Linked DNA regions of Lonchura striata. The protein of the gene in region 1 purifies or fractionates together with the protein of each later gene. This does not show direct contact. Links are inferred from orthologs where the notes say so. Each region holds a gene or a part of one and is shown in the gene's direction. Other genes may lie near its edges. The genes, in order: RBM19 and FBXW11.

The links.
Region 2: the proteins of RBM19 (region 1) and FBXW11 purify together in Homo sapiens (affinity purification with mass spectrometry; 3 studies listed by BioGRID and IntAct, with this or other methods). This does not show direct contact. The link is inferred for Lonchura striata from reciprocal best matches to the Homo sapiens genes RBM19 and FBXW11.

The regions. Positions count from the first base shown.
Region 1 is NC_134620.1:5,705,908-5,709,810, reverse strand, and holds the start of RBM19 (putative RNA-binding protein 19), read left to right. Parts: upstream 1-1,156; 5' UTR 1,157-1,273; coding exon 1,274-1,309; intron 1,310-1,929; coding exon 1,930-2,112; intron 2,113-2,498; coding exon 2,499-2,630; intron 2,631-2,820; coding exon 2,821-2,859; intron 2,860-3,505; coding exon 3,506-3,710; intron 3,711-3,903. UniProt on the Homo sapiens protein: Plays a role in embryo pre-implantation development.
Region 2 is NC_134617.1:17,022,054-17,025,956, forward strand, and holds the start of FBXW11 (F-box/WD repeat-containing protein 11), read left to right. Parts: upstream 1-831; 5' UTR 832-877; coding exon 878-922; intron 923-3,903.

The DNA.
Region 1 (3,903 bases):
GGGATTCTTTTTATTCTGTGATTTTGGAGCTCTCACAACACAGCATCCTCTGGCTGTGGGGTTATTTAGCCGTGCCTTGGAGTGAATCTGCTTTTATTCATAGAATCACTGAATGGTTTGGATTTGAAGGGACCTTAAAGCTCATCACACTCCATCCCCTGCCATGGCAGGGACACCCTCTGCTATCCCAACCTGGCACCTTGAAAACATCCAGGGATCCAGAGTTTTCCTGGACTTAGACCCTCTGTCCCCCTTCTGCATGACTTCTAGGTGTGACATTGAGGCTCTCTGTGCCATCCCCCCGTTATGTGTAGTAGATATAATTCACGCCATTTCTAATATGATATATGTGATATTGAATATTTGTTGGAGTATACACGTTTGTATTAGGAGTGCCCCCACCCTCGCAGGAGAAACCTGGTGTATGTTGAAACCCGATTTACAGGTAAAAGGGAGAATGACCTGAGATGGATCTCATGGAAATCCTCGGGCAGATCCATGTGAATGCAGCGTTCCCATAAATTCCATCAAGGGATTCAACAACTTGGACACTGAATTGTTTTTCATCACCAAAAGAGGAAAATCTTATTAAAATATGGACTCTGAATGGAAGAAAAGACTGATTGCTGAAATCTTGGCCTCAGGCGAAATTTTCCCCATAAAAACCGCTTGTGCCAGGATGGAGGTGTGTGGGCACAGAGTGAAACCTCTGCTGAGGCTGAATTCTTGTTGCACACCCGGGGCCGACCCCGGGCTCGGCTCTGTCCTTTCCTTGTGGCTGGCTAGATAGAATTTGAATTGCAAAACAAATATTTTTTTTTCCATTTTAATTTGGCTGGACAAATTTTCATTTATAACACCCAAAGGCAAACTCGACATCTCTGGCGAGCCTTTGGCTCAGCGGCCGGCCGGAGGCGGGAGCGGCGGGCGCGGAGCTCCCTCCTGCGGCCCCGCCGAGCAGCGCGGGCGGGCCGGGAGGCTGCGGGGAGCTCTGCGGGGATCTCCGCGGGGAGCTCCGCGGGGAGCAGCGGGGGTGCCAGCGCCTCCTCCCGCCGCCCGCCCCGCCGGGCCGCCCGGGCCGGGGCCGCTCCCGCCGCCCCGCAGGCCCCGTTGCTAAGGGGCCGTTGCTAAGGACCAACATCCGGGTCCCCGCGCGCATGCGCGGCGCCGCGCGCGGCCCACGTGACCCGGGAAGATGGCGGCGCCCGTGGCGCGGCGTGCGCGGCGCTGAGCGCTGTCTCCGTGCCCTCTCTCCGTGCCGGCTGTCGCTGCCATGTCGCGGCTCATCGTCAAGAATCTCCCCAATGGGGTGAGGCTCTGTGCTGTGCCGGGTCTAGGATGGGGCTGCGGGTGCTGCGGGGGGGAAGCGGAATGCCGGGCAGGGAGAGGCAGCGGGAGGGGAGAGTGTGGTAGGGATGGGGGAGAGTGGGGAGACGCGCAAGGAGAGAGGGTTAGGAGTGGTGGGAGGGTGAGCTTCTGGAGGAGATGTGCCGGGGGAAGGGGCAATGAGGGGATGCGGGTCGCGGTCAGTGCTGGGGTGGGGAACATGGGGACACTTCGAGGGGAGGATGGTGGGAGAGCTCCTGGAGGAGTCAGGAATGTGCAGGAAGCAGCATGAGGGGCATGGGCTGGCAGCCCCTCAGCATGGGCAGTGCTCGTTGTGGTCGCTGTGCCCCGCTCGCTGTCCGGGAGTTGGGTGCAGGTGCCCTCGGTGCTCCTGTGCCCGGCAGGATCCCGCCCTGTTCCCCATCCCCACGTGCGGATTCCTGGGTACAAGAGCAGGTTCGGTGGCTGAAGTGGGGATTTGGTTCCCAGTGTGCTTCCTGCAGCCTTCCAGAAGGCTTTTGAGACAGAATATGTTGGGTTGGACTTGTCCTCAGCGGCTGTGTGGGGCTGATTTCCCTTGCTGCTGCCTCCCTCCTTCTCCAGATGAAGGAGGAGCGTTTCAGGAAGCTCTTTGCTGCCTTTGGCACGCTCACTGATTGCTGCCTCAAGTACACCAAGGATGGAAGGTTCCGGAAATTCGGCTTCATTGGCTACAAGTCAGAGGATGAAGCTCAAGCAGCCCTGAACCACTTCAACAAAAGCTTCATCGACACCTCCAGACTCACGGTGAGCTGAGCTCCAGAAATATCTCCCTGAGACTCCTAAGGAATAGGGTCTTAGGGGGAGATTCTTCCCTGGGAGGGTGGGGGGGCCTGATGCAGATTCCCAGAGCAGATGTGGGTGTCCAAGGCCAGGCTGGACGGGGCTTGCAGCACCCTGGGACAGTGGAAGGTGTCCCTGCCATGGCAGGGGGTGGCACTTTAAGGCCTTTTGCCACCCAAACCATCCTGGGATTCTGTGCCTGCCCACTCCTGACTCTCCCGTGGTGATTGAATGTGTAGCTCTGTGCTTGTAAAAGTTGTTCCTGCACACTCCCTCCATCCCATCAGGAATTGCTGAGTGGAGTTCCCCAGCAGTTACAGCCCTGTGTTTAATGACCTGACTCATTCCAGGTGGAGCTGTGCAGGTCTTTTGGTGACCCTACAAAACCCAAAGCCTGGAGCAAGCACTCTCAGAAGGCCCCTGCCTCAGAGAAGCAGACCAAGGAGCCCTTGGCAAGTGCAGCTCCTGCAGGCACAAAGAAGGTGAGTCCTGCCTGATTCCCGGGGCTCTGCTGGGTGCCAGTGCCAGGGGAGGGTGGCCTGGCCGTGGGGAAGGGGCAGAGCAGGTGGCACACCAGATTCTGGACTCCTGGTGTTCTGTGCCTCAGGGTCTGTTCCCTGTGCTGCTGGAATTGCCTGTGCTTCTAATAAACCTCTCTGGGTTTTTCCCAAGGGTAAAAAGAAGAAAGATCCAGTGGATAACTTAAAGGAGGTGAGTTGAGGTTGGACTGCTGTCCCTGCATTCCTGCTGCTGAACTGCTCTTTTCTGTCCTACTTCCCACGCTGCTGATTCAGGCTGGGGCAGCCCAGTTCCAGTGTAAAAAATAATTTTAACAATCCCAACACAGGGATTTTTTAATGGTCAGCTGCTCCTGTGAGCACACACTGCATCCAGGTCTGCTCTGTTTCAGAGTTCTGGGGTTTAAACATATGTGAGTTGTCACATTTATCTTACCTGTTTTTTTCTCTTTTATTTCCTCTTTTTATTGTTTTGTTTTCCTCTCTAAAGTAAATTTTCTAAACAGCAATTATAAAAAAGAGTAGGAATGAGACACCTTTAGAAGACTTTAATCACCTTGTCAGTGAAAATTGAGCTCCCCTTAAGGGATTTTTGGTTTTAGAGTGCTGGAAATGAGGTGATGTCTTGGATTTCAGATTCACTATAAGTATTTTCTCTTTTTTTGGGTTTTTTTTTTTTTTCTTTTTGGGTTTGTTGGGTTTTCTTGTTTTGTTTTGATTTTGGGGTTTTTTTTTGGGGGGGGGTTGGGTTTTTTTTTTTTTTGTTGTTGTTGTTTTGTTTTTTGTTTGTTTGGAGGTTTTTTGTTTTGATTTTTTGGTTGTTTTTTTCTTTCCCACAGCTAAAGGAAGATAAAACATTCCAGGAGTTCCTGGGGGTTCACCAGAAGCGGTCCCAGGTGGCCACTTGGGCTAATGACACCTTGGCAGAAGAGCCTAAGAAGGCAAAACCAGCAGCAGCAGATTACCTGAACTTTGATTCAGATGAGTCTGAGGAGCTGAGTGAGGGTGGGGATGAACCCTCTGAAGATGAGGAGGAGATTAAAGGTACCCGAGGGAGCTGTGAGCCTTTGCTTGTGTCAGTCACAGTAACTCCTGCCACAAGGAGTGACAGATTGGGCTCAGTGCCACCAGGAGGGTGGGCTCTCACCTTTCTGCGTGCTGGCAATGTCTGCCTGTTTGCCCACATTTGGGGAGCTGTGGCACGTGCAGTGTCTGATATTTGGGGGGTGCCATTTGT
Region 2 (3,903 bases), on another chromosome or scaffold:
TCCCGTTCCCCTTTCCTGTTCCCGTTCCCCTTTCCCGTTCCCTTTCCCGCTCCCATTTCCGCTCCCGTTCCCGCTCCCGTTCCCCTTTCCCGTTCCCTTTCCCGCTCCCATTTCCGCTCCCGTTCCCCTTTCCCGTTCCCTTTCCCGCTCCCGTTCCCCTTTCCCTTTCCCGTTTCCCCGCTCCGTTTCCCGCTCCCGTTCCCGTTCCCCTTTCCCGTTCCCTTTCCCGCTCCCATTTCCGCTCCCGTTCCCCTTTCCCGTTCCCTTTCCCGCTCCCGTTCCCCTTTCCTGTTCCCGTTCCCCTTTCCCATTCCCTTTCTCGCTCCCATTTCCGCTCCCGTTCCCCTTTCCCGTTCCCGTTTCCCCGCTCCGTTTCCCGCTCCCGTTCCCGTTCCCCTTTCCCATTCCCTTTCCCGCTCCCATTTCCGCTCCCGTTCCCCTTTCCCGTTCCCGTTTCCCCGCTCCGTTTCCCGCTCCCGTTCCCGTTCCCCTTTCCCATTCCCTTTCCCGCTCCCATTTCCGCTCCCGTTCCCCTTTCCCGTTCCCGTTTCCCCGCTCCGTTTCCCGCTCCCATTCCCGTTCCCGCTCCCTTTCCCGCTCCCCTGCGGGCCCCTCACGCCGCGCCCCGGCCCCGCCCCTCCCCTCCCGGCATCCCCCGCGCGCCGCCCGTGCCCAATGGTCAGCGCGGAGCCGCCCCGGGGGCGGGGCCAGGCGCGTCGGGGCCACGCCCCTTCCGCGAGCGCCGTGACGTCACGGCGGGCGCAGCGCGCGTGCGCGGGCGCGCGGCGGGGGCGGGCGGGCCGCGGCGGGGCCTGGCGGGCGCGGGGCGGCGGCGGGGCCGGGCCGGGCGGGCGGGCGGAGCGGAGCGGCCGCCGCGATGGAGCCCGACTCGGTCATCGAGGACAAGACCATCGAGCTCATGGTGAGTCGCCCCCGGCCCCCGCGCACACCCTCCCGGGCCCTCTCGCCCCCCCCGGCTCAGGCCCCGCCGGCGCGCCCGGCCCGCGGGGTCCGGCGCCGCCTCCGCGGGGCTGTGCCGGGCCCGTGCCGGCCCCGCGGGGCGATCCGCTCGCTCCCGCCTCCGCCGCGCTCCCGCGGCCCGCCCGGGGCGCCACGAGCGCCTGCGTTTCATTGGAAATAAATAAATAACTACAATGAACCTGGCGGGAGGCAGGGCCCGGCCGGGGCACGAACCGAAAGCGAAATGCCCCGGGCGGGACGGCTCCGGCTCCAGCCCCTCCCCGGGCCGGCCGGAGCCCTCCGCGCCCCCGGGGGCGGATCAGACCCCGCCGGGGAGCCTCGGGGCCCCGGGCCGGGGCAGCACCGGTGCTGCAGCTCCGGTCCAGCACACTCGGAATTACCTAACGAGACCTAATTGGTGTATTGGTTATACTCCTAATTAACGCTTACACCGCTAATTTCGCGTTAGTGGAGAGGCATCCAGGTGGGAGCAGTAGAAAGAGGTGCTGAATTTTTTTTTTTTTACTATAAGCAAATTAGATCTCTATAGGCAAATGGAGACTCCTCGTTTTACTGCATTAGGCGTGAATAAAATTAAATTAGGAGTAGGGAGAGAATAGTAGTCGGTAAATATCTTCTAATTTATTTGTTAGAAGCATAATTGCTTTTTCTCCTAAGTGTAATTTGCTCTCACATACAGAATTTCATACAGTTCTCCAGAACTGAGGGGCAAAATGCAAATAATTTCCCTTTAATGCACTCTGAAGGTGAGCTGGGTTCAGTGGAGACATAAATGTGTTTTTTAGCGAGTTGAGTTGTTGCTAAACTACCTGATCCAGAAAATACGAACTTTCTTCAAGTGTGCTATCTGGTCTCAAAAAGCAGAAATAAAATGAGAAAGAAAAAGAGGAACGTAGAAAGCCTTTGTGTATCTTTCATTAATGTTACTGGTCACTGAGGGCAGGGGCTTAAAAGCTGTTCCTAGGGAGCCTCCTCCCCTGGTGCTGTGGTCTCACACTTGCCCTGGGGGGCATCAGAGCCATCAGTGCCCTTAGCAGGGAGGACAAGGCTTGGCAGCTTTGTGGGGATCCAGCTCAGGGCCAGCCACCCTGAGAGATGCCTCCTAAATTCCTGGGAATTGGGCTCTGGTTTTTTCCTTCCGTGGAACAGTCACCAACACTCCTCTGCTTTGAGTTCTGTGAGTTGCTCAGGTAGCATTTGGAGCTGGAAGGTTTGGCTCCCTCAACTTTCAAAAACCGCTTTTCCATGTTTTCGCAAGTGCTCTCCCATTTTAGTCTCTCCTCTTTGCGGCCAGGTTGTATCAGGAGGAAGCAAATGGGACTTTTGCTGATGAGTGTTGTATCCTCCACTTGCTGGAGCCGGGAAATGTGCTAATCCGTGCAAATATCTGTGGGGTTAATAGGAGTTTTAGTATGTAGTAGGAGGTTTTAGACATACACTTTTCTCTCTTTCATAAGAAACTGATAAATATAAAAATTGAGTGAGATGAACAATTAATTCTGTGGTTGCCAGGAGAAGATGGTATACAATGTATAAATGGTTTACAATGTAGTTGAATTTAATGTTAACCTTAGTGGAGGCTTGCACAAGATCACTTATGTTTGAGTGGAGATGTTTCCCTAAAAGCATTGAAAATCACTCCTAAATGCAGATGTGGAGGTTTTGCCTTCTGATGTGGTGCAGAAGGGGAGATTCGCCAGGAGATTGGTTTGAATCCACAGGGCAGAAGCTGTTTGGGCTGAGTTCCCTGTTGGGAATTTCTTTGTGATCTGGAAACGTGGGAGTTGGTGCTGTGGGAAACATCCCAAACCCAGGATCTTCCCTGCCTGGCAGACTTGGGGGGATGCTGCTCTTTTTAAGAGTGTTCCACATTCCTAAAAGATGTTTGATACCTCTTCTTGATCAGGGAGATGGGGTTTGGTGCATTGCTTCCTTCCAGTGCCAGGGATGAATCTGTAGTAAATACAGGAGCAAATGTGTGATCTGAAAGTTCTGAGGAGCAAATACACTGTAATTCTGAGGGGCTGATAAACAAGAGGTTATGTGTCAACATGTTAATTGCATATAAGTTTCAGAACATGCTGCTCTAGCCCTGAACTGTGCCTTCCCGGATTGATCATTTGCATTTATTTAAAGGAAAATCAGTCATGGAAATAATACTGTTCTATTTTTAAGGCTGGAATCTCAGATAAATATTTCAAAGTTTCAGAGTGACAACTTTGATTTGCTGTGTGAAGTTTTAGTGAGTATTCCCAAGCCACTGTGTCCCTCAGATCAGCTGAACTCTTCCCGTGCTGTGTGCTGCTTCTGTGGATGCTGTCCTTAGTCATTCCCAGGGGGATGAGCATTGAGTGATGCCATTCACAGCTTCCACGTGCAGGTGGTGCCCACCTGTATGGGTGGGATACCCCCGAGGTTAGCTGGGACTGACTGGTTTGCCCAGGCTGAGGCTCCCTGTGTCTGGCAGGGCTGGGGCTGGTTCAGTCGTGGGCTCAGGGAAATGCTGGGTGTCAGCAGGCGGCTGAGGAGTGAGGAGGTAATCCAGAACAGATGGAGGACCACTCATTGAAAGGGCTCGTTCTGCCCCTGGTTTTGGTTTTCTCAGTGAAATTAGATAACTGTGACCTTTTTGCTCTTTTGAAGAACCAACTGCAATGCTTTGTGAAATAAGTTTTGTTACCTGCAGATCAGAGTTGTGTATAAAATCTGTGTTCAGTTGCATCAACCCTGTGATTTGCATTTACCTTCAATATGTGCTAAAAGCCTGTTCTTAATTTTCCCAGGAAGCTTTCCATAATTGTTATTTAGTGTTACCAGCAGCTTTCACAGTGTGAGGGGGTTAGCTGCTTAGGTTGTTGTAACAGAATACATCAGTGTGGCACGTAGTTTGGGAGGCCTTTTATACATTTATTGGTGAGCTGT